Linked DNA regions of Elephas maximus indicus. The protein of the gene in region 1 purifies or fractionates together with the protein of each later gene. This does not show direct contact. Links are inferred from orthologs where the notes say so. Each region holds a gene or a part of one and is shown on either strand. Other genes may lie near its edges.

Evidence for each region. Proteins that work in one complex are often made in the same cells at the same time.
Region 2: the proteins of NAP1L1 (region 1) and NAP1L5 purify together in Homo sapiens (affinity purification with mass spectrometry; 3 studies listed by BioGRID and IntAct, counting the BioPlex papers as one, with this or other methods). This does not show direct contact. The link is inferred for Elephas maximus indicus from reciprocal best matches to the Homo sapiens genes NAP1L1 and NAP1L5.
Region 3: the proteins of NAP1L1 (region 1) and MAGED2 purify together in Homo sapiens (affinity purification with mass spectrometry; 4 studies listed by BioGRID and IntAct, counting the BioPlex papers as one, with this or other methods). This does not show direct contact. The link is inferred for Elephas maximus indicus from reciprocal best matches to the Homo sapiens genes NAP1L1 and MAGED2.

The regions. Positions count from the first base shown.
Region 1 is NC_064822.1:138,213,811-138,225,424, reverse strand, and holds the start of NAP1L1 (nucleosome assembly protein 1-like 1), read left to right. Parts: upstream 1-6,519; 5' UTR 6,520-6,644; intron 6,645-11,614. UniProt on the Homo sapiens protein: Histone chaperone that plays a role in the nuclear import of H2A-H2B and nucleosome assembly.
Region 2 is NC_064841.1:27,698,121-27,707,511, reverse strand, and holds NAP1L5 (nucleosome assembly protein 1-like 5), read left to right. Parts: upstream 1-5,725; 5' UTR 5,726-5,894; coding exon 5,895-6,659; 3' UTR 6,660-6,661; downstream 6,662-9,391.
Region 3 is NC_064846.1:113,000,057-113,010,663, forward strand, and holds the start of MAGED2 (melanoma-associated antigen D2), read right to left. Parts: upstream 5,231-10,607; 5' UTR 5,139-5,230; intron 4,627-5,138; exon of another isoform or gene 4,540-4,626; intron 4,513-4,539; exon of another isoform or gene 4,434-4,512; intron 3,847-4,433; exon of another isoform or gene 3,741-3,846; intron 3,654-3,740; 5' UTR 3,625-3,653; coding exon 3,580-3,624; intron 3,239-3,579; coding exon 2,729-3,238; intron 2,129-2,728; coding exon 1,820-2,128; intron 1,705-1,819; coding exon 1,641-1,704; intron 1,377-1,640; coding exon 1,297-1,376; intron 749-1,296; coding exon 654-748; intron 1-653. UniProt on the Homo sapiens protein: Regulates the expression, localization to the plasma membrane and function of the sodium chloride cotransporters SLC12A1 and SLC12A3, two key components of salt reabsorption in the distal renal tubule.

The sequences.
Region 1 (11,614 bases):
AAGTAGAAGTGCCCCATACAGTTGATTGGAGATAAGGCTACTATAAACATTCCTGTGCAGGGTTTTTTTTTTTCTTTGTAAACATAGGTTTCAATTCCTTCGAGTAAATACCCAGGAGTGAGATTGCTGGGTCATATTCTAGGTATACGTTTAACTTTAAAAGAAACTGCCAAACTGTCTTCCAAAGTAACTGTACCATTTTGCACTCCCACCAGCAATGAATGAGATTTCCTGTTGTTCTGCATCTACAGTACACTAGCATTTGGTACTGTCAAGATTTTTAAGCAATTCTAATAGTCTGTAATGGTATCTCCTTGTGGTTTTGATTTTGCAAGCACTGCATTTTTTTTTTTTTATAATTTTTATTGTGCTTTAACAAATCAAGTCAGTCTCTCACACAAAAACCCTTATACACCTTACTACACATTCCCAATTACTCTCCCCGCTCTCTCGCTCCACTCTCTTTTCGTGTCCATTTCGCCAGCTTCTAACCCCCTCCCCCCACTCTCTCATCTCCCCTCCAGGCAGAAGTTGCCAACATAGTCTTAAGTGTCCACCTGATCCAAGAAGCTCACTCCTCACCAGCATCCCTCTCCAACCCATTGTCCAGTCCAATCCATGTCTGAAGAGTTGGCTTCGGGAATGGTTCCTGTCCTGGGGCAACAGAAGGTCTGGGGGCCATAACCACCGGGGTCCTTCTAGTCTCATTCAGACCATTAAGTCTGGTTTTTTGAGAATTTGGGGTCTGCATCCCACTGCTCTCCTGCTCCCTCCAGGGTTCTCTGTTGTGTTCCCTGTCAGGGCCGTCATCGGTTGTAGCTGGGCACCATCTAGTTCTTCTGGTCTCAGGATGATGTAATCTCTGGTTCATGTGGCCCTTTCTGTCTCTTGGGCTCGTAATTGCCTTGTGTCCTTGGTGTTCTTCATTCTCCTTTGATACAGGTGGGTTGAGACCAACTGATGCATCTTAGATAGCTGACAAGCATTGCATTTTTAAGATTCATTTATGTTGCCATGACATTTGGTGCTCTGTTGTATACTGAATGCTGTAATATTCTATGATGTGTATTAAAATTTCACTATCCATTTTCCCAATAAGAGACACTCAGATTTTCTCCAAATTACACATATAATTTACTGTCTTTTTTATGATGCCCAAAATTTCAATATCTGCTTTCTTTTTATCAGCAGCTGGTTTTATGGATGAAGAAAACAATATCCGAACAGGGAATGACAAAATCTTCCTGCATAGATTAGATTGACAAGATTTTCTTATATAGATTCTATGATAAACATAGAACTGATATATAATAGTATTTGAAAAAGGACTACTTACATAACGTATTATAACTTCCTATTGTTTTTAATAACTTCTTTCTTTCCTTTCTCACTTCCCTTTTCCTTCCTTCCCCACTTCTGTTTGCTTTATTCTTTCAAATAAAACATTTATCGAAGGTCTTTTTCCTGCCAATCATTATCCAAGCCGGGGGTCTACAAAACAAGTATACCACCCTACAGCAACTAACGGTCTCTTGCATGTGGGGCAGAGGGGAGCATGGGCTCATTAGTAATGTAAGAGCTGTCTGAAACACAGACGGGAATGCATCCAGTTCGGCCTTGGTGAATCAGGGAAGGTTCCTCAGAGAAGATAAGATTTGAGCTAGATCTTGAAGGAAAAATAGGAGGGGAAATCAGAGGGCATAAAACACCTTGTGTGTTGAGGGTCTGGTGAGTACTCAAAGTCGTATAGCGTTCATGACAGTGGGTAGGAGGAGGTATAGCTAGAACATGGGACAAATTCATATTGGGATGGGCTTCGTAGGTCTTATTTTGTCCTGTAGACATTGAGGAGGTTTTATGGCAAAGTAGACTTGATTAGAGTTGTATTTTAGAAGAAAAGCTTTTACAGTGTAAATTGCAGAGGAACAAGAGATTGGTATTAGGCTAGTCTGAGGTTATTGCAAATGGTCCAGGTAAGAAATATTGATGACCCAAGCCAAGGCATGGATTATTTTCTACCTAAGTGGTCTACTTACAAGAAAGCAGAAAATAAATAAATAAAATCTGGAAAGACAGAACCATATTTGGCATGTCAAAAAAAAAAAAAAGACAAATCCAAACACTACAAAAGGACAACATAAGGGATCCTTGTAGTGCTGGAACTGTATCTTGACTGTGGCAGTAGATTCATGACGCTCTGCATATGATAACGTTGTATAGAACTAAATTCACAAATACCCACAAATGGATTCAAGTAAAACTGGGGAAATCTGAAAAGGATTATGGATTGTGTCACTATCCAGATTGTGATATTTATTGTACTGTAGTTTTGCAAGATGTTTACCACGGACTGCCAAACGAATGAACAATTCTGTCTTGGAAGAAGTATAGTCAGAATGCTCCTTGGAAGCAAGGATGGTTAAGACTTCATCTCACATACTTTGGACACATTATCAGGAGGGACCAGTCCCTGGAGAAGGGTATCATGCTTGGTAAAGTAGAAGGTCATCTAAAAAGAGAAAGACCCTCAATGAGATGGATTAACACAGTGGCTGCAACGATGGGCTCAAGCATAACAACCATCATGAGGATGGTGCTAGGCCAGGCAGTGTTTCGCTCCGTTGTACATAGGGTCGCTATGAGTCGGAATCGACTTGACAGCACCTAACGACACAAAACCCACCACCACTGTGATGAACTCAGTAAAGGTTACACAATAGCTCTCTGTATTATTATTTCTTATAACTGCATGTGACTCTACAATTATCTCAATAAAAATTTCAAAAAAAAAAAAAGGCAAAATAAAGGTGTTTTCAAATAAACCAAAAAATGCCTATTAAGCCTTTTGTGGATGTAGAAGACAAAATTCAAGGCACCTTGTCCACAATTCCCTATTCGAGTTTTGACTGATTTTACATTACATTTGTAGATTAATTTGAAAAAAATTGGGGAAAAAAAAAAAAACCCGACCAACAAGACTCAACACTACGGCAATATGTTACATAAATGTATCTTGTACAGTTTTTTGATGATTTTTGCATACTGATCAACTGGAAGGAGGAAAAAATAAACATTTATTGAATAACTGAAATGCAAGTCATTACTCTGGGGGTTTATACACATTTTTCTATTTCATGCTAACGAAGGAAAAAAAAAAAGAAGAGGGAGGTTTTATTCAAGTTATTAATATATTTTAGAGATGAGGAAGCCTGAGGCTCAGTGTGGGTTATTTTGCAAGGTCAGAGTGTTGAGGATGAACCTGTTATGCCTGTTTGGCTTGAAAGCCTGTGTTCTTTCCTTCTACGTAAGGGCTGAAGTACAGACATAAGCACATTTAAGGTACCGTTTCTATTATCATCTTGTCTGGTTGATTCCTGTAGTGGCTGTAACCAATATTTAGAACTGTTGAATATAATATTTTTACAATAATTAGTATGAATTATTTCAGCTCAGGAAAACATGTTTTAAAATTTGTGACAAGATAGCTTTTAATAAAATATTTTACTAAAAATAGTGTCAGGTACTATTAGACGACTGCAGAGTTTTTTAAAAAAATAAAACAAAAATAAAACCTCAGTAAGAGGTTGATAATAGTTAACTTTTATTGATGTTTATTGTGTCAAGCACCATGTTAAGCAATTTACATGTGTTATTTGAAATTTCTCAACGACCTGATGAGGAATGCACTTTTATTGTCCCCATTTTACAGATGCGAAAACTGATGCTTAGGGTGGTTAAGTGACACATTCAAATTTATACAGTTAATAAGTGGTAGAATAGGGATGAGTCCCTGGGTGGCACAAACAGTTAAGTGCTAGGCTACTATCCAAAAGTTTGGTGGTTCAAACCCACCCAGAGGTGTCCTGGAAGATAGGCCTGGAGATCTGCTTCCAAAAGGTCACAGCCTTAAAAACTCTAAGGAGCAGTCAGTTCTACTCTGCACACATGGAATTGCCGTGAGTTGGAAACAACTTGATGAAAAACACCATCAACCAACAGCAACAGAATAGAGATGCAACCTGGGCATCATTACTCAAAAGTCATACCTCTAAACCACTAAGCTACAATGCTGTAAAAAACAAACAAAGAAACCTACCAAATGAAAATGATAGGGATGAAGAAAAATGCAACTTCAACTGAGTCCAAGATCAGTGACCAGAATCACCCTTTACTGTAATTAAATTAGATGAGCTAACTACATTGTGTGATTTTGGGGGTTTAAAAGAGGACTTGTTCAACGGTATCTTCGGGCCAGTCACCTTCTACTCCTTTGTCTCATTTTATTTTCTTAATAGCTCTTTTACCTAATAACTGAAATTATTTTACTTGGTTATCATTTGCCATACTTTACTAGAACATAAACTCTAAATAAAGTCAAGAATCTTGTCTTTCTCTGACAATTCCAACCAGGGACTTGTTAGGTAGTCCTGGAGAGAAGGGCAGAAAAATGTAGAACAAAACTCAAATTCTTAAAAAAGGTCAGACTTACTGGACCAGTAAAGACTAGACGAACCCCCCGAGACCATGGCCCTGAGATACTCCTTAAACTTGGAATTCAAACCACTACCTGAGATCACCTTTCAGCCAAATGACTACTAGCCAAAAGTTTGGCCCATAAAATAAATAACATTACCTGTCAGTACTGCGCTCCTCCAAATGATTGTCTAGATGAAACCAAATGGTTAATGTTTACTCTAGACCAAAGACAAGAAGGCTAGGGTGGATGTGGAAGCTAGATTAATGGAAACAGAACAACCAAAATGAAAATAACGAGAATGCTGATGTATTGTGAAGAATGTAACCAATGTCACTGAACAATATATATATTGTAAAATGAGAATCTAATTTCCTATGTAAACTTTCACCAAAAAAACCCCAATAAAATGTTTAAAAAAAATCTTGTCTTTCTTGTTGATCGTTGTATTTCTAGTGTCTTAAGTGGTGCCTGACATATGTTTATCAAACAGATGCATCAATAATGTGCCTTCCCTGGACTTAGATAGTAAAAGCTTAAATTTACAAACTAGTTCAAAGCACCACATTTAAAAGGGACGAATTATAAGAAATTGTATTAGTTTCCGAGGGCTGCCATAAAAAATTACCACAAATTCGGTGGTTTAAAACAACAAAAATGTATTTTCTCACAGTTCTCGAGGTGAGAAGTGCAAATTAGTACTCTAGGGGAAGATTCTTCCCCTTCTGATAAAACCAGGTGGTCCCTGTCTTCTGGCAGCCTGATTGCAATCTCAGCCTTCATCTTCACATGGCATCCTTGCCTCTGTCTCTTCTCTTTTTGTAAGGATACCAGTCATATTGGATTGGGCCCAACCTACTCCAGTATAACCACGCTAGGTTAATAACATCTTCAAAGATCCTATTTCCGAACAAGGTCACATCCACCGGATGCAGGGGTTAAAACTTCAACATATCTTTTGCGGGGACGCCATACAATCCATAACAACCAGTTGCTATACTGATTGCAACTTTGCCCTTAACCTGTTACCTTGGTTACCTCATCCATAAAATAGTGATAACAGTACCTACCTCATTGACTTACTGTGAATATGAGCTAAAACGTGTAAAACGTTTCAAGTGTAAGCCGTTTAGAACAATGCCAGACACAGTAAGCTAGAGTATCTGCTGCCTTATGAAAGTAGCTTGGACTTCTCTCTTCAAAGAGTTTCGGTGGCTCTCAGGCCACTTTGAGAATCACTGTTGTAAGAGTTAATATTAGTTAATCCAGCATCGACTGAAGAATAGGCAGGAGGCTTCACAGGCTTGAGAAAGATTAAAAAGCGAGTGTTCTCATTAAAAAGCATCCTGAGAATACACAAATATGCCACTTTTCTCCATCAAAAGAACTAAATCATAAATGAGGGCTCACAAGTCAGGTATAAGGAATAGAGGGGGAGCGATGAGGAGCACCCCGGGATGGCCCGAGACCTCTGAGTTGAGAAAAAAAAAACGGGCTTCTGACCCGTCGAGGTGGTCACGAGGAACGAACTGTTGTTCCCAGTGAAAAAGTCGGAGGAGGTAAAAGGGTTATTGGGGGCTGAGGAGTTGCAGGAATTAGGCCAGGAAAAGGATGGGAACTGAGGTGGGCACGAAGCAAGATGCGGCGGGCTGGGAACGCAGTGGCTGGGCCAGTTCGGCCCCCTCCAACCCGGCATGACGCCGCAAGGGTTCGAGGTAGGCCCAGGCCTTGGTGGGGATCACGGCTCCTTCCGCAAAAGGATGGGGTTGAGACTTCCTTTCCCGCGTACCGGGGAGCAACGCGATGGCGGGGCGCCTGTTAGGGGACGGAGGCGGGAACTCAAGGAGCCGAAGCGCGGCCCTCCGCAGCCAGCGGGAAGAATCCCCGGCAAGGTTGCGGAGGTCGCGGGTAAAGGACGGTTCTGTTGCTAGGCAACCTGGCCTGAGCCCGCCTCCCGCTGCGTTACTAGGAGACGGCTAGGCCGGGGGGAGGGCGGCGGAGCGGGACCTACGTGCTGACGCTAATTGTATATGAGCGCGAGCGGCGGGCTCTCGGGTCTTTTTTAGCGCCATCTGCTCGCGGCGCCGCCTCCTGCTCCTCCCGCTGCCGCTGCCGCCCTGAGTCACTGCCTGCGCAACTCCGGCCGCCTGGCTCCCCGTTCTAGCCGCCGGTAACGGTTGGGGGCCTAAAAAAGGAAGGGGGACGTGGAGTCGGCGGGTGGCTTGCGCGGAAGGGAGGGACGAAGGGACGGAAAACCGAGAGCTGCGGTTGCTGGCGCCTGGGCCTCCACACTCTTGTTATCGGCCCCACAGCCTGCGAGGGGGCACCGGGGCTGGGCAGCCCTTCTTCCAGGGACCGCTGAGGAGACGCGGGGCTCGGTGCGGCTTGTGGGGAGCCGGGGTCGGCGCGGCCTGTGAGGCGGGTGGCCGCGCTTCTCTGCGCAGACGTTGCCGTAGCCCCACCGGCTTCTTCGCGCGGACGGGAGTGAGGCCGCGGCGGGGCCCGCGCGCCCTGAGGAGTGGGCAGCAGCTCCTCAGAGGAGCGGGAGTTGCTCAGGGTGCGGAACTCGCCACCATTGGCGCCTCCGTTTCTCTCTCAAAATTAATCCCGAAGGGAGGCCGCTGAGGGGGCTGAAAAGAACGGCGAAGGCTGCGAATTCCGGGGGGGGGGGGAAGGGGGGTTGTGTGGGGAGGAGGCCCCGAGGCAGGGAGGGGCGGGAGATGCTGCAGGGCTCACAGGCTCTCCGCCCACTGGAGGCGGTGGCCGCTTAGGGAGGGGAAGCCCCGCGCGGCTTCCCTCGACACGTGGTAAGGAGCTGAGCGGCCGCTGTTTGCCCCTGATAGGAGCCCCTGGTCTGGGTTGTCCTTTTACTGTAAATCGTAGAGATGGTGGGATGTGAAAATGAATAGTGAGCAAGTAAGTGTAGTCCGGAGGTTTCAACCTCTTTTCCGCTTCTCTTTGGTCTTAATCTTTTTATTGATACCGGAGGGAAGTATCAGTGTTAGCTTATGCATGATGCGGGGCAGGGTCTTCACTGCTAGGATTTTAAAGAATGGCTAGCTATTACTAACATAAGATTATTTTGTGTACTCCCAAGCACAGAACCTGATGGCGTATTGATCAGGGTATTTTAGTTGGAGAGGTAAGGTTGACCCTAATGAAACCCCTAAGCAATTCTAAGATGGACATAAAACATTTGGCCCTGTAAAGGTCTTTCATTATTCTAGGACTTCTGTTGCCCCCTTTTTTTTTTCTTTTTTTTAACAAATTCCTTCCTTTATCGAAGTTTCTAGAATAAGATACTTAACTAGCCATTTTGGTTTTAAGGTGAATAAGAATGAGTGGGGGAAGTATGGGATGGAATGAAGCATTTAATGTACGTTTTTTGAGCCAAGTTTGTAGGCCGGTACCTTGTCCATGTCTCCACTTCTCCCTCAAAAAAAAAAAAAAAAAAAAAAAGGGTCATCGAAGGGAGACGGAGGTTGAGGTCCAACCTTTCGGAAGAAAAAAGGATAAACCAGGTGCAGGATGTGTCCTCAGGGAGCTCACTCCTGTTCTAGACGTCATTGTCAGATCATTAGGCTTGAAACGACTAAATTTAAAAGTCTCAGAAACTTGTGCTTCATGCCTGGTTTCAGGAAACCTTGGAATTTACCATTTTGGAAACGTAGATGACAGCAAAACATCTTTTCAGACTAGTATCTGGGTTTTTGTTTCTTGTCAGCTTATATTATTAATCCTCTACTTAATTGTTTTACTAACGAAATGGTACACATTGTCTTTGATTGCATAAGGGAAAAACCTTACATACAGGATAACCCTTTAAACCGACAGACGATAAATGAGGTTTACAGTGATCCTCAGGGACTATTAAGTTCTAGGCTAGTTTGAGGTTGAGTTCAAATCTGAACTGTATATATAATTTAGCTCTAAGAAGGCTGGTCCTTTGGAGGATAAATGGAACTAAACATTGATAGTTGGACTTTGACATCTGTCATTATTGATTTGGTTGGTTCTCTTTTCAGGTCAGTATTTTTTGTTAATTTGATAAATGTCATTTAAAAAATTTTCACCATAGCAACTTGAAAATCATTGTACCTGTTGATGGTATTAGGCTCATTAATTGATAGAATTATTAAGCTAATACTGAATATGACATGTGGCTGTTATTGTCCTGTAATGAGATGGGGGGCGCTGTACCAGAACTAATTTAATCCAAGATGTTTCTAACCCATATTGCATTCAGGTGACTGGTTCTATGCTAAATTACGAGAAATATATTTAGAATAAAGGGCTCTTTTGTAGGAGAAGGGACTGAAAGGCAGATCCAAAAGATCTAACCAACTAGCTTTGTAAAGCGTTTTATATATTTTCCCTTCTCTCTACTCCCTGATTACCCACATGAAAATTGATGACAATATTATCTGGAGAAGGACATCATTCATGCTTGGTAGAGGGTGAGTAAAAAAGAGGAAGACCCTCAAGGAGATACATCGACAGTGACTGTAACAGTGGGCTCAAATATAGCAACCATTGTGAGGATGGCACAGGACCAGGCAGCGTTTCATCCTGTTGTACATGGGGCTGCTATGAGTTGGAACTGACTTGACAGCACCTGACAACAATATCATGCAAGTGAATTGTAGTTTATACAAAAAAATCACATGGAATTTTGTAAGACAGAAATCTATGGAAGTTTAAAGAGCTGAGCGCTTAGAATGTTGCCTGGCACGTAACACGGTAGGCACTCAAATACTTGCTGAATAAAATAAAATATTTGCTTGCTTTGTTCAATATTAAGGAGCCCTGGTGGTGCAGTGGTTAAGTGCTCAGCTGCTAACCAAAAGGTTAGCAGTTCAAATTCATCAGCCACTCTGCTGGAGGGAAGACCTGGCAGTCTTTTCCCATAAAGATTACAGCCTTGGAAGTCTTATTTATTGGAGCAGATCTCTGTCCTATAGGGTCGCTGTGAGTAGGAATCAACTCGATGGCAATGGGTTTTTGGGATTGGTTAATATTGCTTGGTTGTAAACTTGAAATATTAATGAAAGATAGAAATCAGACGAAATGAATTCTTATCAATATAGAAGTGGTAATGAGTAATCTTTTTGGAGCCTCAAGTCTAACCGAACCTAAAACCCTGGTGGTGTAGTGGTTAAGAGCTGTGCTGCTAACCAAAAGGTTGGCAGTTGAAATCCACCAGGTGCTCCTTGGAAGCCAGATGGGGGCAGTTGTGCTCTGTCCTGTAGGGTTGCTCTGAGCTGGAAGAGACTCAATGGCAGTGGGTTAATGGGTAGCTGATTCTTTGAGTAAATGTTCGAGCATCTGTTTTGTAGTGTATCGTAGATTTTGGGTTATATCTTGAGCAAAACGGGCAAATTGGTTGCCTGAATATATTATAAAATATCAAGTTGTGATTAGTGATACGCAGAAAAAAGATTAGGGGAAGGAGGAAATAGAAGAAGTATTTATAATTCTTTACACGCAGTGGTTAAGTGCTATGGCTGCTAATCAAAAGGTTGGCAGTTCAGATCCACCAAGTGCTCCTTGGAAACTATGGGATAGTTCTGTCCTATAGGGTCACAATGAGTCAGAATGGACTCAAGGGCATGTCTTGGTTTTTTACACACAAGGGAACCTGTTATAATGGTCATTTTTAGTCCCATTTCAGACTACTTTGATTTGAATAAGAAGTATTAGCTCTTTGTTGGGCAGAGTGGGTCTTGGAAGGTGAGCTTTTGTTTTACAATCATCCTTGTAATTTTAGTACAATGACAGCAGATCACTAGAGCACAGTACTGGACTTGCCACAGAAAGTGGCCATTTCCTTTCACTGCTACGTATTTTGATGCCTTTTTTTTTTTTTAAAAAAAACCCTGTTCTTAAGTTTTAAACATTTTGGTATTTATTGGAAAAGAGAGCTGTAATTTTTTAACCTACAGATTACTTTGGGTTATTTTTAAGGTGCAGGGTATAGAAATAGAGCACTACAGTGGTAGATAGCATAGTGGTCAGTTCAGGCACTGTTTTAAAATTTTCTACTTAACTCATTTTAATACTTCTAGAGGTAGGTATTAACATTTTAATGAGGAAGAAACTGAAGTACAGAGAGGTTAAAGAACTTTTTCAAGGGTACATAGCTAGTGATTGAAGGTAACATTTCAAGTGTTGATTGTGTATTGGATTTTAGAGGGAGTTTTCTTGGTTGCTATACATCAGCTTGAAATTCAAGAACATCCTTGGGTTCTACTGTGCTCCAGGGAAAAGTTACAGCACTTCGTCATGGTCATATGTTCCTCTTTCATGGAGTTAGATTACTTATAGTAAGGTAATGGTGTCTTAGCCTTAGGCCTACCTATTCTGTGTGAGTAAATTGCTTCTGTTTGTTAATGCATAACGTTGAATGGCTGGGTTAAGTTTTACCAAATGTCAGGGAGAGTCAGAGGAGCTGCAGCTCTTAATTGAGGGCCAATGAAAGGAGAGATTCCCTTTCATAGAGTGTTAGAAGCAAATGGCCATCTGGGAGATAACGTTTCTCTTTATGCCAGTTGAAATTTGAGTGACACAGTTGGGGCAGGTATGTATAGCATAAGAAAAAAACTGAGGTGACTGTAGATTAGGTAAGGCATACTGTTCTTTTAAACAGTGGCATCACTAGGGTTGGTGTCACCCCCTCTCCCCATGGACCTCCTCTGGTCCCAGACAATACAGAATCCTCAGTAATGTATTTTGTACTAATGTTGACTTGTAAGTCTTAATTCCCATATATCACTTTTTTCCCTTTAGGTACTACTACATTCTCAAAAAAGATATTGATACAGGTTCACAAATGCTGATTGCCACAATACTGTATTAAAAAACCAGAAAATTTGATAAAAACAGCGGCAGACAAAACTACGGTGATTTGAAGCATCATTGTAATTGGGTTGTTAGGTACCTGGAGTTGATTCTGACTCATAGCGACCGTATGTACAACAGAAAAAAATACTTCCTGGTCCTGTGGCATCCTCACGATTGTTGCTGTTCATAAGCCCATTGGAAACCCTGGTGGCGTAGTGGTTAAATGTGCTACGGCTGCTAAATAAAAGGGTCAGCAGTTCGAATCTGCCAGGCGCTCCTTGGAAACTATGGGGCAGTTCT
Region 2 (9,391 bases), on another chromosome or scaffold:
TTGTAGAATAAATCTTTTGTCCCCTACTCTGAAAATGCAGGGGCCCAAAGGCTTCCATGTGGAGTAGAGCTGCACTCTCCTCTCCACTCAGCAAAACATTGGAGGGAAATATGAAGCCAACCTGTGGACAGATACCATTATGTAACAGCAGGCCTTCTCTGATAAAATCGATCTGTTACAGAATTACGAATTTGTTTAGTCAAGTACCCAAGTGTTTCTTTACAAGCTACAAACCAAACCTGAGGAGACCCTTACTACCAGGTGATCACAGGGTAACCCAGATGGAAAAAAAAGGAGAGAGCTTACAGAGGAATCTAACACTAATCCCCTCACCCTAAACCCTTCAGTTCGTTCCCTCGCTCCTGGCAAACCCCTGGGGCAGCGATTTAATCTGAGGGAGGGCAAAACTTCCTAAATTTTTTTTTTTTTATTGTTTTACTATCACGCAGAAAAAAAGTAGTTTCTATATTGCCAAGGCTTAGCTCTAAAAGCCTCCTACATTCTATCAGCTTATGTCAAGGGGGATAACAGCTTACACACACTGGTATTTGCTCTCTGCCAGTCACTATTCTCAGTGTGAAGGACTCTCAAACCAAGAGTGGTCCAGTGAGCGGCCCAAAGTCACACAGACAGTAAATGGGGACCTGGATTTGAACCCAAGTATCCTAGCTCCACAACCTTCAGCCACGCACAAGTAAATTTATTCTCAAAACTATATCATAAAACTGAGGCTTTTACATCTGGAATGAACATTTAGCCTACCCTGTCTGCATAAAGGGAAACTGACGCCTAGAAAGGGGTTAGCACCTATGGCGGAACAACTCTAGTCTTGACCACTCTGGACCGAGAAGCCCTTCCCCTTTCCTCCCCCTCTTCCTCCCCAGCACATATCTCTCTTGAGCATCCCTAGTAACCTCTTTCTCTGTCCTGTTCCTGTCTCACTTTCCTTGGCCTTCTAGACACATGTGGGTAACAGTTGAAACGAGATTTTTAAAAATTGAGTTATTTCATACCCACATCTCAGTCACCTACATTATCAATCGTTAGATTGTGAGCTCCTCTGGACAAGACCCGAGTCTTGGCAATCACATTTTTTCCAGTGTTGTCATCAACAGATGTCCTGCATGAGGTTACTCAAGCAGCTAAATGCCTCTCTAGACTACCAGGACAAGCAGAATTTATTTCCATTTGAATGTTCCAAATAGCAGCTGTCTAAAGGCAGCACAAAACAATTAAATGTTGAAACAAAACCTCCCAAACTCCCTTCTGCTATATGGCAACTCAGGGCTAGCCCACTCTCTCTCTGCCTGACTCACAAGTTTGTTACATAGAACACTCCAGAAGTTGGATTCGTCTTCCACATTTTGTAAAGCACAGGATGCAGCAAACTGGGCGTGAGCTTTAAATAATGGTTTCTTAAAATGGCATACAGAGCCAAAACACATAAGGCAAATAATTTTTATAAACAAATGCTCTCCTTTCACGCAGGAGACTGGGTTTAATTCACAGCCAATACACCTCGTGTGCAACCGCTACTGTTAGTGGAGGCCTGCAGACTGACAGACTAGGAAGAAAGGCCTGGTGATCGACTTCCGAAAATCAGCCAGTGAAAACACTGTAGATTACAAGAGTCCAATCCCATCGCGCACGGAGCTGTCATGATTCAGGGGCAACTCGACGGCCGCTAACAACAAAGATGTCTGAACGGCTATATTCAGATGATGATTATAATAAAGTACCCTTTTGTGTACATTCAAGGGGTGATTATAATAAATTAATGCACATTATATAAAATACGTAACAAGTTATAATAAATTAAAACCCTTTGCCATTGAGACGATTCCAACTCATAGCAACCCTATAGGACAGAGCAGAACTGCCCCATAGGGTTTTCAAGGAGCGGCTGGTGGATTTGAACTGCCGACCTGCTGGTTAGCAACCAAGCACTTAACCACTTTGCCACCAGGGCTCCTATAATAAATTATGTACTCTTTGTACAGTATGTTATAGTTCATAACCATTTGAACTTTCACTTGTTTGAATTTCACAAGGACCTGCAGGTTTTGTACCCATTTTATATTCTTTTGAGAATCAGCCAAATTAAATGCTTACCCAGGATTGTAAAACCCCACATGGCAGAGCCAAAAGTCCAACTCACTCTGCCCAATCAACCCCGAATGTCATTACTCAGAGCTCAGGAAACCATCATTAACCAAGTCATTATTGAAAACTAAAGCCTCTCCCATCGCACAGGTTTGGCTGTACCTGAGAAAAAGGTGTAAAATCAGGGTGGAGAAGGGAAGTAGGTCATGAAACCCTACCCTGCTGTCGTTCGCTGCAGTCAAGCGGATTCTGACTCATGGCGACACCATGTATGCAGATTAGAACTGCTCCATGGGTTTTTCAAGGCTGTGACCTTTTAGAAGTAGACTGCCAGGCCTGTCTTCCAAGACAACTTTGGGTGGGTTCGAACCATCAGTCTTTCAGCTAGTAGAACACCTAACTGTTTCTACCACTGCAGCATTTTCTTCTCTCTGAAGGCAGATCTGCTCAGCTGGTTAGCAGGGTCAGTTTTCCTGCATAAGCTGTGCCTCAGAAAACAAGTATCAGTCTAGTTAAAGCAGCTCGGGCACCCTGAAGCATCAGGAATCAGGATGGCCTGTCAGTCCCAGTGGCTCAGGAACGAAGGCAATGGCTGTTGTGACAAAATCTGGATTCACTAACAATGGAGGTTTTAAATAGACTGTTGTTGCTGGGTGCCGTTGAGCTGATTCCAACTCATAGCGACCCCATGTGACAGAGCAGAACTGTCCCATAGGGTTTTCTTGGCTATAATCTTTACAGGAGCAGATCACCAGGTCTTTCTCCCATGGAGCCACTGGGTGGCGTCGAACCACCAACCTTTCACTTAGCTTAACACCTTGTGCCACAAGGAACCCTGGTGGCATAGCGGTTAAGAGCCCTGGCTGCTAATCAAAAAGTGGGCAGTTCCAATTCACCAGGCGCTCCTTGGAAACTCTATGGGGCAGTTCTACTCTGTCCTATAGGGTCACTATGAGTCAGAATCAACTTGACAGCAATGGGTTTGGTTTTAGATCTTCTGCGCTACAAGGGTCCTTACGTAGACCCTAAGCTTGTTGCTGTCGAGTCAATTCTGACCCACAGCAACCCTACAGGGCAGAGTACAACGCCTCGTAGGGTTTTCAAAGCTGTGAATCTTTATAGAAGCACACTGCCACATCTTTCTCCTGCAGAGTGGCTGGTAGATTTGAACTGCCGACCTTTCAGTTAGCAGCCCAGTGCTTAACCACTGCACCACCAGGGCTCTCCTATCACAAGGTCTATACTTATTTTTCATCCACTCGTTCAGCAAACATTTGAGTGTTTATTGTGTACCAGACACCATAACTGGTACAGAGACAAGGGGAAATACAAAATTGGACTCCATAATTAAGAAGGTGACAATGTAAGGCAGATACAGACACTGAAATGCACTATGCAGTGGGATAACTATTATAGTTACACGTAGAAAGAAGTAACAATTTCCACTTAGAGAATCTTGCAAAGTGTTCATTGCACTGATGACATTTGAACTGGGTCTTTAAGAATAAAAATTTGCCAGAAAAATAATTCTATTATGAAAAAATTCTGCATCCCACTTTGAAATGTGGCGTCTGGGGTCTTAAATGCTAACAAGCGGCCATCTAAGATGCATCAATTGGTCTCAACCCACCTGGATCAAAGGAGAATGAAGAACACCAAGGTCACACGATAACTATGAGCCCGAGAGAGAAAGGGACACATGAACCAGAGACTTACATCATCCTGAGACCAGAAGGACTAGATGGTGCCCGGCCACAACCGATGACTGCCCCGACAGGGAGCACAACAGAGAACCCCTGAGGGAGCAGGAAATCAGTGGGATGCAGACCCCAAATTCTCATAAAAAGACCAGACTTAATGGTCTGAGACTAGAGGAATCTCAGCGGTCATGGTCCCCAAACCTTCTGTTGGCCCAGGACAGGAACCATTCCTGAAGACAACTCATCAGACATGGAAGGGACTGGACAATGGGTAGGAGACAGATGCCGACGAAGAGTGAGCTACTTGTATCAGGTGGACACTTGAGACTGTGTTGGCATCTCCTGTCTGGAAGGGAGATAGGAGGGTAGAGAGGGTTAGAAACTGGCAAAATTGTCACGAAAGGAGAGACTGGAAGGAGGGTGCGGGCTGACTCATTAGGGGGAGAGTAAGTGGGAGTATGGAGTAAGGTGTATATAAGCTTGTATGTGACAGACTGACTTGATTTGTAAACTTCCACTTAAAGCACAATAAAAATTATTAAAAAAAAAAATTTGCCAGAAGATGGGTGAGAAGGACATTCTACACAGTGGAACAAAGTTATAGAAGCACATGACTTGTTTAGAAAGTTGTTAGCTCCTGTCGAGTCAGCCTTTGACTCATGTGGACCTCACGCACTACCAGATGAAATGCTTCTCCATCCCCACGAGGGGTTGGGGATCAGACCACTGTGAGCCACAGAGTTTTCACTGGCTGATTTTTCAGAAGTAGATTGCCAGGCCTTTCATCCTAGTTCATCTTAGTCTGGAAGCTCTGCTAAAATCTGTTCAGCATCATAGCAACACACAACCCTCCACTGACAGAACGGTGGTGGCTGTGCGTGAGGTAAACGGGCTGGAAATCAAATCTGGGTATCTGGCATGGAAAGCAGGAACTCTACCACTGAGCCACCAACGCCTCAATGTTTAGAAAGTAGAGATATACTACTGTTTTATGACCCTGAGAGAAATAGGGTGGGTGCTGTATTTCAATGTATTAAATATTCTTAATGACTTTGAATCTGTTTTTTGGCATATTTATAAAAAGCTTCTATCACCCCCACCTCCCAAACCCTAGAGAAGTAAAAGCCTGGTTCCATTAAAAGGGGCAGATCCCAACCAGAGGAACAAAGGAGTTTGGTTTACCAACAGGTCAGTAAACTATAAATTTTTTAAACTCACCTGTGTTAAGAGAAGGTTGCTGGAAACTAGTTTTTTAATCTTTATTATCATCACTATACAAAGGAGCCCTGGTGGTGCAGTGGTTAAGAGCTACAGCTGCTAACCGAAAGGTCAGCAGTTCGAATCCACCAGCTGCTCCCTGAAAACCCTATGGGGCAGTTCTACTCTGTTCTATAGGGTCCCTGTGAGTTGGAATCGACTGGAGGGCATCGGGTTTTTTTTTTTTTTTTTAATACCATCAAACAAGGTGTCCAGTCCAGAGCTACTTAAAGGGTGGTCTCCACAGACTGGCACATCTGAAATGCAAATTCTTGTGCCCCAACTCTACCTGCTGGATTAGAATCTCTGGGGGTGGGACCCAGAAATCTCTCCAGGTGATTCTTTTCCAAGTTGGAGTTTGAGAAACAATGGCCTAGTCGATTCAGAGTGAAGCTGTCCTTCAATGAAACAGTCTTCCATCGGGCAGTTTTTATTACTGATTTTCTGTGTGACGGTAACGGGTGAATACCCTTGGATGGAACGCTGCTAACAGCAGGGCCTGCAATGACCAACTGCAGTAGGACGTTTGAATGACCGCTGTCAAGAGTCCCTTAATGGCCACTTGCATGAACTCCTACTTCTCTTTCAAGACTCCTTCTCTGTGAGGTCCCCACCGCCGCCTCCTGCGCACAGAACTGATCTTTTAACGCTCTGTGGGCCACGCTTTCTGTGCCAACATGCGTCTTGGATGTACCTCTGTGTCTGCACCTCCCCTACCTCAGTGGGAGGTTTTGTTCCTGTTCGACTCCCCTGTGAGGTCTCTGAGAGCAGAAACCCGGACTGCGTCATCTGGGTATCCAAGCTCCGAGGCTGACGCGCAGCTGGTGCGCAAACATGAACGGATGGGAAGGGGGCCTGAGATCCGCCCGAAATCGCAGGGTCGGGGAGGCGACGGGCGAGGCGTCTACTTCCGGGCCTCGGGGCCGCTCGGCGGCCTCCTTTTGTGCGGGTCTCGCGTCACAGGCCCGCCGCCCGGCCGCCCCTCGCCGCCTCCGCTCCCTCCGCCCGCGGCTCCTCCCCGCCGAGGCCGACTCGCCGCGGCCGCATCCACGAGTGCTGCCCGGTCCTGCTCGGGCGCCGGGCCTCGGCGAGAGCACCCTAGACCCGTGCGGCTTGCCCTCTGACACGGCAGACCCGGCAAACGCGGGATCTGCGGCGCCGAGCGCGGCGGCTGCGGAGGAGGTGATGGCGGCCGCCGGCGCGCAGGGTGGAGACGACGGCAGCGCGGAGGGGCCGATGGCGGCGGCGCCCCAGCCGCCGGCCGAGAACGCGGCGAAGCCTAGAAATGACTTTCTCGAGAGCCTGCACAGCTCGGTGAAATGCCGAGTCCTTGCCCTCAAAAAGCTTCAGAAGCGATGCGATAAGATAGAAGCCAAATTTGATAAGGAATTCCAGGCTCTGGAAAAGAAGTATAATGACATCTACAAGCCCTTACTTGCCAAGATCCATGAGCTCACCGGCGAAATGGAGGGATGTGCCTGGACCTTAGAGGCCGAGGAGGAGGAGGAAGACGAGGACGAGCAGGTGGAGGAAGAAAAGGAGGAGGAGTCGGACGATGAGGACCCTCACTCTGACGTGTCAGATGACGCGGATAAATAAGAGGTGGCAGAAATTGAAGAGAAAGAAGACCAAGGAGAAAAAAAAGAAACCCCAAACAAACAATTGTGAACGTTGGTGGACTTTAAAAAGGCTCAGGTTTTTGACTAAAATACAGTGTGAACCTATTCTTATGTCCCTAAAATATATTAAATGAAGCAATCAGGTCCTGGCCAGCCCACAAGTTTAAGATTTGATTTTCATTTTGAACACAATAAATATATTAAAAGCGTTTGAAGAAGAGCAGTTAAAACTATATTTTTTCTTGATTTCTTCTGTGAAAATTGGAAACTGAGGCTTACACAGGGTGTCAAGTAGATGTGAAATAAAGAATGTCCATTTGAAACCCATTCATCAAACTATCACACTATAAATGGAACACCGAGCCGAGACTGAACACATTCTCAGAGCTAAATTCTTCAATTCCTTTAGTCCTCCTGAAATTTCCTAGTGCAGAAAAAGCAGAGCCCAAGAAAAATGTTATCTTTGTTTAAGATGGCTGTGTAACCCAGAGATCAGCTTTCCACGTCAGGGGAGAGTGTTGGGAAGGAGAAAGCCTGCGATGGAGATCATGACACTACTGTTGATGAGGCCAGGAAAACTGCCACTTCAAGTTCTGAAGAATGTTCTCGAATATCTGAATTTAGGGAAACAACCTGGATCAGTGAAGGAAGACATATAACCTGTATATCTTAAAAATACTTATTCATTACTTACAATCTCATGTTTATGTGTTTTCTTGGTACTGTCTATTTACGAAAGTTAAAAAAAAGTGAAAAAGTTTATTAAATTACTCCCTATGATTCTGAAGAATTCACTTTCTTGAAGAGATGTAGAATACAGCAAATTCTCTAAAGCATGTGTACCCAGTGTTACGGAGTTTGATCCTCGTGAGGTCTTTTTGTCATGTAGCTTTTAGAGTGTAGCTGTGAAAATGATAAGAATTCTTCACTGAAACTAGTATGTTTGGAAAAATATACTCTTGAAGAACCAATCCAAGTGTGTCCTCACCCCCAGCTCATAAGTAGCTTGTGTTAGCTGTGCCTTCATTATTTCCCCATGTAAATGTGACATATTAAATATAAGATGGTGCATAATCAAATTTTACTGCTTGAAGATAGACTGGCAAACAGAAGGATTTTCAGGAAGAACACATTTAATGTAAAGATTCAGCTTTTTTGTCAGTTTTGAATTATGTGTGACCCACTGATCTATAAAGAAACATAAGCATAAGGTTGTTTCCTGCTGTGGTGTTAATAAAACTTAGTCTTTCCAAACATTTTCCTCTTCTCACACTGTGTATCGGGTAAATAAGGTAACTAAGCATATTTTCTGTCTGGTAAATCTTCACTAACATTGCCACTTTATCATTCTTTATAACTTAAAATGAATAGAATCATTAAATAAGAATCAACGAGGAAATGAATGTTTCCACAGGCAACGGTTTTTGTTTGAAGCTAGGTACTTATCCACACAGGTCATGAGGATAATAACAATGTATTCACTGCTTCTTGCCTAGCACTTAGTGCAGTACCTGGCATACAGTATGTATTTAGCAAGTCCTTCTGGAATGAGTGAATGTCCGTAATCACACTTAGAAGTACATATGTAATGTTTGAAAAAGAAATAAGTTGGTGATTCCCATATATCTGAAACTATCAAGACATGCATTACTATATCCCATAATTAAGAGATTATTAACACATAATTTTAGCAAATAACTAAGAAAGTTAAATCTAGAAAATGGCGGAAGTCTGCACACACACGTCTGTGCGCTCACACACACACACACAAATTTGGAAATGGCCTACTAAATTGTAGTTATCCAGGACCTGTATTGGGAGAAAAGGACACAAATTTCCGAGAAAGTTAATCAACTAAATCAATTCCTCAGAAGATTAATGATTACTCATTCTACTTCAGATGCCTGATAGGTTTAGTTGGGAAAGTCAGCCACAGTCACATGTCAACTGAACAAATGTTTACTCTAGGTGGAATTCTGCAGAGAAGCCCTACTAGATGGAATTCACAATGTAACAGTACCATTAAAGATCCCTCCTCACTGACCTGGTTCTCAGATACCTCCAGAGTGATTGATCTCTCTTGACCTTGCTCTCTCTAATCTAGGTCTCAGCCCTTGTTTCTTCATACATCTTTCCTCACCAAATCCCATTCCTAAGGGTTCAATCCTTATTAAACTGGATGCAAATGAGATCATACAATTTTAAAACACAAAAGGCCTATGTATGTATGTATATTGACTCCCTCCTTTGAATATCGAAGAAACTGAGGAACAGAAGGCTGTCATAACAAGCCCCAAAGTTCCCAGTTTGCAGATTCACTACATTTCCGCTGAAAAATGTTTCAGCACAGAAAGTTTCTGCAACCCTAGCTTTTCTTTCTCTTCCCTTGCATAGCAAAATTACCTAACTTTATACTTATTTTTGTTGTTTTAAGTTTGCCCTTCCACTTTTCTGTTCCAGATGACTTCCAGAACTACAGCTATAGATCCATGTTTCGACCGCACCATTCTAAACACTCAAATTCTGCAATCTTTTTTAGAGGTGTTCAGTGATCTGACCCCTGAGCTCTCTTTGACATCACTGGCTTTCTTCACTTTTGTTGCCTTTCAACATACTTAGAATACTAGAGCTGGAAGGAAAACTACAGAGCAGCCTTTCCCCGAACAGTTCTTTCGAACAGCAGCTTGAGAAGATGGTAATTCTTGGAACAAA
Region 3 (10,607 bases), on another chromosome or scaffold:
ATCCAGCAGCGATTTGCCAAAGACGTACCAGCCAGCTCACTGGGCTAGCCGCTCCCAGATTCCTGGAAGAATTCTCTGCCCAGTCTATACTCCAAGCTCTATGCAATCCCAGGCAAGGCGCTTACTCAGTAAAATGGGGAAAATCACATTATCCCCTCCCCACGTTACCAAGATGGAAGAAGGCCTGTCAGCCTGGTAAAACACAGGAACTCAGTCTCTGTGAATTCCTTCTTTCTCTCCCAGGTCCCTTAGCCCTTTGAGAACTGTAGACACAGCCCCACTGATGACTCTCCTGCCCTTCGAGAATCATGATCTACCTGCACCAGGGAGCCCTCCCTTGAAAACCATTCTACAAGGTTACTAGGCACCAGCAGGAAGAGACAAGCAACGGCAGGCCTCCTTTCCTGGGGAGCCTCTGGAGAGACAGAAAACCTGACAGCAGGAATGCCCCATCCCAGGCCTCTAACCCCTTCAGACAATCACAATCAGGCACCACTACTGTGTGCAGAGCTCCAACCAGGTGTGGGAGCTTGACCAGGGGCTTTTTAAGCCCCGTTTTTCCTGACTGTGTAAGAGGATGTGGGGAGAGAGGACAGGACAGGTGCAGTACCAAGGACAAAACTCCCCCTCCCACCTCATCCCCTTCAGCTTACGTTCCCAGTATGCCTGCATCAGTGGGTTCTAGTGTGCTGAGGAGAATGTACAAGTGGTCATTCTTATCAATTTCCTTCAACTGGATTCCAAATACCTGTGGATGGGGAGAACAGCTTGTGAGGTCACATAAGTCAGCCTCCTGGGTATCCCAAGGCTCCCGGTGTTCCTAGAGGTTTGTGTGTGGCGGGGGGTGGGGGGGGTGGGGTGGGGGGGTGGGTGTGTATGAGGGGGAGAGAGAGAGATCAGTAATACACTGCATATAAAGCACTAAGCTAACTGCCTGGCACATAACAAACATGAAATAAATATACCATTGTTATTACCATCATCTTTGTGATTAGTGGGAATCTAGGGACACAGAAAATGGGGAATGGAAGGGAGAGGTGAACATCTGGAACACATTATAGGGCATGTCCAGCAGTGGACAGAAGTTAGGGCTAGTTGAGTGGTTTGGGTCCTAGCTGTGCTTTTACCACTGACTTGCTGTGTCATCTATGGCTCATCTATACCCCTCCATAGGCCAGCCTGACCATCTGCACGCTGGATTAGCGAGTCTCTGTGATCCCTTCCATAAGGGACACGTGTACCTTTGTTAATTCAAGGTTTCTCCACTGTGCCCACCCCCCAGGGCTGCCCCTTCACCTTCTCCAAGGAATAGCCTGCTCGTTCAATGATTTCAGGGTACACATCAGTGTATTCTTTGATGATGTCCTTCAGCATATCTGCAAGGGGAGAGTGTTACAAGCACCTGGGCTCAAGAAAAGCCAGGAAGCCCCCCATGCCCAAGCTATAGGCCCTTTACCAACGCTGCTGTGGGTGGCATAGCCAGGGTTCTGGGCTAATGAATAAAGATGCTAACACGGACAAATTAGGACTTTGGGAGCACAGCCGTAGGAACATAAGAGCAAGGATTATCCCTAGCACATGGAAGGGAGGGCAAAGGAGGGCAGAGCTTGGGGTTGGGGAGGAAATAAGCAGGACTCTACCTGAGCGTTTGATAGGAATCTTCGTCTGGTCTTTAACCAGCAGGTACTTTACCAAATCATTTGCCTAGGAAAGATGATGGGAAGAACAGTATATGTTGGCAAAATATTTAAAAGCATGCCACAGAAGAAAACAGGTAAGGTAGTGGAAAAGGCGTAGTGGAGAGGACAAGAGTTCTTACCCTCCCTTGCAAAAGGGCCACATCCCGAGGCGGTGGTGCTTCAGGTTCTTGGGATGACTGGAGCTTGGCAGCTCTACGGCGAACCTTGCCCCTACGGGCCTTAGGTGACCTCAGAGAGAGCAAGGCTCTACGGGCCCAAGCAGCCAACCGAGTCCTTGAAGCCCTGCGAGCCCAAAAGGCTATGGGGCCCCTTGAGGCCCTGCGGGCCATTGAGGCCATTAGGGCCTTTGAAACCCTTCGGCCACCTGTGTTTCCAGATGTTTGACTCTGGTCACTGCTGCCATCCTCTTCCCCATTCAGGTGCTTCACCTGCATCAACAAAGAAGAGGCTCGACATGACTAAGTGGAGCAGATGGTCCTTTTTCTTCGCCCTCTCTTTCAGGAAGCCCCCTTAATCCCACCCCTGTAGTAATGCCCTGACTCACTAGCCATTTGTTACCCTGTCTCGTAGGCTTGTCTTTCACTGTCTTCCAGGCAGTTTTATCTCCCAACCAGGCCAGAAACAACCCAAGGGTGGGGCTTGAGGCTTCTTCTCTTCCTGTGTTCATTACTAGCTCTGCTTGCATCACTCTGGACAAATCACTTCACCTCTGTGGGAGGCAGATTCCTTCTCTTTAAAACTGTGATTATGATCCCTAGCTGGTAAGATCTACTTTCAAGATTTAATGAGATAACCTGTATGAACGTGCCTAGCTCAAGGCCTAACTTATGTTTGCTACTAGGTAAATATAAACTAAATTACGTTCAGACTGCAGCTCTGCATATTCATGTGTCATCTTCCCACCAGTCTGTGAGCTCTCTGAAGACAAGAATTATATCACATTCCTCTCAGTATGCCCTACGGCTTTGATGAACACAGGCAACTTAGTAACTCTGGAAAGGCAAGGGTAGTGATTGCAGAGCTCTTACCTTTCTGGCTTTCTTGGCCTTGACCTTGGGCCGAGTATCCTGATTCTCCTGAGTCTCAGTAGCTGTACCCTTAGGCTCAGGTTCATCTGTGGGAGCCTGAGAAGCAGCAACCTCTGTCTCCAGGGACTTTGTACTGACCTGGGTATTAGCCACACAACTGACTTTTTTGGTCTTAGTGGCAGGCATTGGCACACCCTGCAGGTCAGCATTCTGCATCTTGGTGTCAGCTGCTGGACTGCTGTTTTCAGCTACCAGAACCTGGGTATCAGTCAGCTGAGGGGTAGGTGAGGTATGGGTGACAGCTGCCTCCTGAGCCTCTTGGGCCTTTGAGACCACTGTGGCCTTTGAGACCTCTATGGCCTTTGAACCCCCTGGAGCATTTGAGACCTTTAGGCGCTGTGAGACCCCTGGTGTCTTTGAGGCCTTGGGTGCCTCTGAGACCTCCAAATTCTGGGTCACTGCCAGTAGAGTCTGCATCACCAAGCTGCTGTCCTCTTCTGAAGCTTCAGCCTGCAAAAAGAGGAAGCAGGGAAGCTCACAGATCTCCTCCCCACCCTCAACTAGGCAAATGGCTCCAAAATTCCATAGCCGCACTTCTGTGACCTGTACTAACTCCTACCTGCAATGTTCTCTGACCACCTCAGCCCACCAAGGCCTCCTCTGAGCAGGAACTGACTACCAAAGAAGGGAGGACCCTCCCTCCCTTTCTCCACTGGGGGAGAGATGGGAGAGGACAGAGCCCAGGCAGGGAAGTGCATGGAGAAGAACAAGGATGGGACTGGAGAGGCCAAGGAATTTGGGACAGCAACAAGGGATGGAGAAGGAAGCTGGGAAGAGGTCAGAGAGCTTACCTGGAAGCGGGTTAGATCTGCACCACTCTCACTTGTGTCAGACATGTCTCAAGTTGGCCTGGCAAGAGCTGAGCCTGAAGGGGAGAAGGCCTGGGTCAAGGGGAGCTCCCAAAGAACACTGAACATCCTCTCCCCTATTCTGCCTGGAGGCTGATCCTCACCTTCTTTGGACTCCAATCCCAAGTCTCCCCCCTCCACCACCCCTCCAACGGCTCCATTCTCATACACAGGAATCCAGAGCGTCTAAGGTCTTAACTCTCTACAACCGCACCCTCCCCTTCTCCAGAAGATGTGCCAGCGCGGCAGCTCTGAGGACCCCGCCCCTTTTCCCAAAGCAACCCGAGACGAACGTGAAGGTCGATAGTGCGCATGCTAGTGCGCATGCGTGTCTGCAGCTGGGCCCATTTCAGCCCCGCCCGCTTTCCCTACATAAGCCCTTTCTTCGAAGTCCACCCCGCACATGCGCATTCAGCAGCTGGCGCTTCCCCGTGCAGGCCCTTCTCTACACGCCCCTTTCTAGAGATCCATACTACACATGCGCATCGTTCACCGTCTCAGTCCAGCACCCTTCCCAACACACGCCCCTCTTCAGGTCCACAGTACCATTTGGCCCGCTCCTTCCCCAGCAAGTCTCCCTCCGAACTATCACAGAGCCTGGTGATCCTAGCCCCTACCCAACTCACACCCCCTTCACCAACAGTGCCTCCAGGTCCCGCCCCTTTCCATAAAACGTCCCCCCCAACTCTAGCAAAGCGCATTTTGTTTCCGCCCCTTCCCTAATACACCCCCTCCTCAAATAAGTATTAGTGATTCTATCTTGGGCCCAGCCAAATTGGATCAGTCCCCTCCTTTACCAGACGGATCCGGTATGATCCGTTCCTTACGGCAGGTTTTCTCCAGCTCCCAGAGAGTAAGGCCAACCCTTACCGGCTCTGATCCAAAGCTGGACCCCCTGCTCACCTCTTTCTCCTACAACCTACGAGTGCGTCCGCTCTCTCCAAGCCCCTCCGAAACTCGGAGACTGCCCTCCCTCCTCCTTGCCGGAAGTGGACCCGCCCCTTTCCGCCTCCCTAGGGGGCTTCCGTCCCAGCCTGTCTGCCCCTCCCCCGGTCCTCATTCTTAATTCTCCCCCTCCGCTTTGCTCTGTATTCCTTATTCCCCCATCGCATTTTTCTGTTGCCCCACCAAATTCCCTATTCCCATTTCGTACATCCTCCTCCTCCTTACTTAACGTGCTCCCCCCCCCCATTATTCCCTAACCCCTCTCGGCATCTCTTCTCTGGATCTACATTCCCCCTCGGTATTCCCCTCCCCCTCATATCCCGGGTCCCCAACCCAAGATGCCGGATTCCCCGTTTTTCTCCCCTCTCGTCGCTGCTTCCCAGTCCACACAGCCTATTACTCTCTCAGTCGTCCTTGTTGCCTACATCCCACTCTCTCCCAGGGTCATCTCTCCCCCAGCTGCAGGGGTGCAGTAAGAATTGCCCACCTGCCTGGCTATGGAGAGGACCGGAATTACAGTCTGGCTACCAGGGAACCCCAATCCCAACGCCTCTCACCTTGTCCTCCGCGAGTCTGGGATGCGTCTGCTCTCCCTCAGTCCCTCTCGAAGTCTCAGCCTCCTGGACTAGAGCTGCAGCAAGCACAGCCCAGCCCCTTTCCGCAGCCCCCTGCCACCCTCCCCCACTTCGCCCTCCTGGAGGTGGGGCAATGGGGCCCGGTTCAGGGCTGTCTCACGCCAAAGCGCGTCTTTATGCCACTGTACGGTGCTTGGTCTGAAGCCCTTCCAACCAAAACCACCCCTCAGAGCAATTAATTCATTGAATTAATTTATTTTTATATCTTTATTTTCTTTTATTACAAAGGTAATGCGTTGTGAAAATTCAAATAATGCAGAAATATGTAATATACCAGTGAATAACTGTCCACATCGTATCCCCTAGAAATAACCACTATTGACGTTTTGATATACATTCCCCCAGATTTTTTTCTATTCATATACTAATTATTTGAGTTCTCTCCCCACAAATAGTACACTATACCTACTGTTGTGACCTGTTTTTTTTTCTAGCTACATAGTCTGAACATCTTTCCGTGTTACTACACATTTTTCTTAGAACAATTGTATAATCTTTTCTTGTATAGGTGTCTCCTAATTTATTTAACCAGTCCACTATGCATGGACATTTAAATTGTTTCCTTTTTTTTTTTTACTATTACAAACAAGGCTACAAAGAACATCCTTATATGTGTATATTTCTGCAATTGTGCTTGTATCTGTAGGATAAATTTATAGAAGTGGAATTGTTAAGTCAAATGCTAGAAAAAAAAAGGTTTCCATTTTGATACAAGATTTGCAGCCTTGTTCCCCAAATGGATTAAACTGAATAATAGTCCCAACAACACTATCATGTTTCTATGTCATATATATTACAAATATTTGGTTATTTACGGTATTTTTTAACTCAAGTCCTACAAAAAAGTCTTCCATTTTAATATAATTTGTCAACTTACTCCCAAAAAGATTCATGAAATAATATTCCCATGAACAATAATTCTTATATGTTTATGTGTCACATATATAACAAATATTTTCATGTTATTTATGATAATTTTTGCTGTATAAAAGGGTTTAATTATGTAGTCAAATATATCAGTTTTTTTCCTGATCACATCTAGGTTCTTCATTGTGCTTAGAGATGCTATCTACACTTCTATATTATAAATCTTTGTTTTTTCCAAGTACTTTTCATGGCCTTATTATTTACATTTATGTTTCATCATTCCAAAATTTGTTTTAGTATGAGGAGTGAGGTAGGGATTCCACTTTATTATTTTACACAGTCGTAATCCCTTATCCCCACACCATATGCAAACTAATCCATCTTTTACCCTACTGATTTGAAATGACGATTTTACCATATTAATTTCACATAAGTCTTTTAAAGGGAACAAAATAAGATGTGTAAATAATGGAAAATAGACAAAACTATCCTTAGTGACAGATTATATGAATGCCTACCTGGAAAACCCAAAAGTATCAACTAAAAACTATTAGAAATAATAATAAAATTCAGCACAGTGGTCAGTTACGGAAACAATATTCAATACCTTTCCTACATCCATATGTAATTCAAATGGCTACAAGTCCTTATGCTTTATGAAGTCACTGTTTCCTTTACTAAACAATATCATGAGTTCCTATGATCTATGGATAATTCAACACACACACAAACACATTTCCCAAGAATTCAAGGTGGGCCTCTCTTTTCCTGTCTTCTTTCTCTTTGAATTGCTGCTTCCTCCAAGTTTGTCATATCAGCTCATAACTTTCATGCCTCCTAGGTTCTCTCCCTTATCCACATAGCTTTATTTCACACAGGCACAACCCCTCCTTTTCTTCCAGTTCTGGCTCCCCCAAATTCCCATCTTTTCCCAATCATGGCAAGCCTTGAATGCCAGGGTAAGGACTTTGATCTTGATCCTGACAGCCCAGAGGGGTTATTGAAGAGTTCTAGGAATCAATGGAGTCCCTGGGTGGTGCAAACGGTTAACGCACTTGGCTGCTAACAGAAACTTTGGAGGTTTGAGTCCCCCCAGAGGTGCCTTGGAAGAAAGCCCTGGGGATCTGCTTCTAAAAAATCAGCCATTGAAAACCCTATGGAGAACAGTTCTGACACACATGTGGTCACCATGAGTTGGAATCAACTCAGCAACGGGTTAGGCATGGATATGACATAGATTTATGTTTTAGAAAGAAGACCCTAGCTGCTGTATGGAGTATGGATTAGATGTCTTCCTGGAAACAGGGAGAGCAGTTAGGACCTTTGCAGTCATCCAAGTGAGCAATGATTGTGACTTGGCCTAGAGTGGTAGCAGTGGAGGTAGTGAGAAGAGATTGAATCAAGAAGATACTACACAAATAAAAAAAGCAACTAGGCTTGGTATGGAGAGAGGGGTGAGGAGGGGGAAGGTGTCAAAGAGGACTCTTGGGGATCTGATTTGAGAAACTGGATGGTAATCCCTTTCACTGAGACATAGAATGCTGAAGGAGGAATGGAATGAGTTTAAGAGGAACTGAACATTGATTCTGAGGTACCTGTTGGACATCCAGGTGGAAATGTTCCACAGTCCATTGAATATACGTGTCTGAAGCTCAGGAGAGATGTCTGGGCTGAGGTTATAGATGTAGGCATCATCAATATATGAATGGCACTTTAATTCATGGGAAGGGAAAGAGCAACCAGGAGGAATTTGTAGTGTTAGAAGAGATGGGGCCCAGAGAAGGGCCCTGGAGACCAGCTGTATCTATGCTATCAAAAAACCGAACAAAACCCATTGCCATCAAGAAGATTCCAACTCATGGAGATCCTATAGGATAGAGTAGAACTGCCCCATAGGGTTTCCAAGGAGCAGTTGGTGGATTTGACTGCCAACATTTTGGTTAGCAGCCATAGCTCTTAACCACTACGCCGTCTAAGGAAAATGGTAAACCAATAACACCGCATTCCTGGAGGGACTGCAGAGATTACTGCCACCATCCACTTAAAAGTTGCAGGGGTGGTGATTTCCACGACATCCCCTTTCAAGTATTCGGCCTGTGCAAAAAACAGATGGATCTTGGAGAATGACAGTTGTACAGCACAGTATAGCAACCAATTTAAAATTGAACATCAGACTTTCCTGTTGCAGAAATTTCCTCAACCGTTCCCACCATTGTTCCTTCTCCTTGAGCCCCACCCGTCATTCCTGTTGAGCCCTTTTTCTCCCCCAACATACTTCTCAGTTCCCCTCCTTTCCATGTCCAGTCTCTCCCTTGAGCTGCTGGTGGAATCTCAGCTTTTTCCTTCCTTTTATATGCAAAGCAATTTAATTCATTTTGTATCACTCTAAGCCCTGAGGGCAACTTTCCACAACCGTAATGGCTCCATTTTGTTAAATAAAAGCTAAATTTTCCATAAATGAGGAAATCTGCCACCCACTTTTTGGACTAACACACATCTTCCCTGCTCTTTGTACATTGACTCATTCCTCAGAACAATCTTGTAAGGTGTTGTTGTTGTTAGATGTCATCGAGTCAGTTCCGACTCATAGCGACCCTATGCACAACAGAACAAAACATCACCCGGTCCTGCACCATCCTCACAATCGTTGCTATGCTTGAGCCCATTGTTGTAGCCACTGTATTAATTCATCTTGTTGAGGGTCTTACTCTCTTTCTTTGACCCTCTACTTTACCAAGCATGATGTCCTTCTCCAGGGACTGATCCATCCTAATAACATGTCCAAAGGGCGTGAGATGAAGTCTTGTCATCCTTGCTTCCAAGGAACATTCTGGCTGTACTTCTTCTAAGACATATTTCTTTGCTCTCCTGGCAGTTCATGGTGTATTAAATATTCTTTGCCAACATCATAATTCAAAGACATTAACTCTTCTTCTGTCTTCCTTTTTCATTTCCAGCTTTTGCATGCATCTGAGGCAATTGAAAATACCGTGGCTTGGGTCAGGCACACCTTAGCCCTCAAAGTGACATCTTTGCTTTTTAACATCGTAAAGAAGTCTTTTGCAGATTTGCCCAATGCAATTTGTAATTTGATTTCTTGATTACTGCTCTCATATGCTCTCATGGGTGTTGATTGTAGATCGAAGTAAAATGAAATCCTTGACAACTTCAATCTTTTCTCCGTTTATCATGATGTGGCTTATTGGTCCAGTTGTGAGGATTTTTGTTTTCTTTATGTTGAGGTGCAATCCATACTGGAGGCTGTAATGTTTGATCTCCATCAGCAACTGCTTCAAGTCCTCTTAGCTTTCCACAAGCAAGGCTGTGTCATCTGCATATCAAAGGTTGTTAATTAATCTTCCTCCAACCCTGATGTGGAGTTCTTCAGATAGTCCAGCTTTCTCAGATTATTTGCTCAGCATGCAGACTGAATAAGTATGGTGAAAGGATATAACCCTGACACACAACTTTCCTGATTTTAAACCCTGCAACATGCCCTTGTTCTGTTCAAATGACTGCCTCTTGGTCTACGTACAGACTCCTCATGAGCACAATTAAGTGTTCTGGAATTCCCATTTTTTGCAATATTATTGTGATTTGTTATGATCTACACAGTCAAATGCCTCTGCATAGTCAATAAAACACTGGTAAATATCTTTCTGGTATTTTCTGCTTCCAGACAAGATCCAGCTGAGATTAGAAATGATGTCCATCATTCCTCATCTGCTTCTGAATCCAGCTTGAATTTCTGTCAGTTCCCTGTCGGTGTACTGCTGCAACTGTTTTTGAATTATCTTCATTAAAAATTTACTTCTGTGCAGTGTTAATGACATTGTTCAATAATTTCCACATTCTGTTGGATCATCTTTCTTTGGAATGGGCACAAATATGGGTCTTTTCCTGTTGGTTGGCCAGATAGCTGTCTTACAAATTTCTTGGCATAAATGAGTGAGCACTTCCAGCACTACATCCATTTGTTGAAACATCTCAATTGGTAAGCCATCAGTTCCTGGAGACTTCTTTTTAGCCGATGCCTTCAGTGCAGCTTGGACTTCTTCCTTCTATACCACCGGTCCTTGATCGTATGCTACTTCCTGAAATGGTTGAGTGTTGACCAATTCCTTTTGGTACAGTGATTCTGTGTGTTCTTTCCACATCCTTTTGATGCCCACAGAACCCTTCAATATTGGAACTCAAGGCTTGAATTTTTTTCTTCAGTTCTTTCAGCTTGAGAAATGCCAAACGTGTTCTTCTCTTTTGGTTTTCTAACTCCAGGCCTTTTTCACATTGTATTATAACGCTTTACTTTGTCATCTTAAGCTGTCCTTTGAAATCTTCTGTTCAGCTCTTTTATTTCATCATTTCTCCCACTCGCTTTAGCTGCTCTACATGCAAGAGCAAGTTTCAGAGTCTCTTCTGACGTGCGTTTTGGTCTTTTCTTTCTTTCCTGTCTTTTTAAAGATCTTTTGCTTTCTTCATGTATGACATCCTTGATGTTATCCCACAACTTGTCTGGTTTTCAGT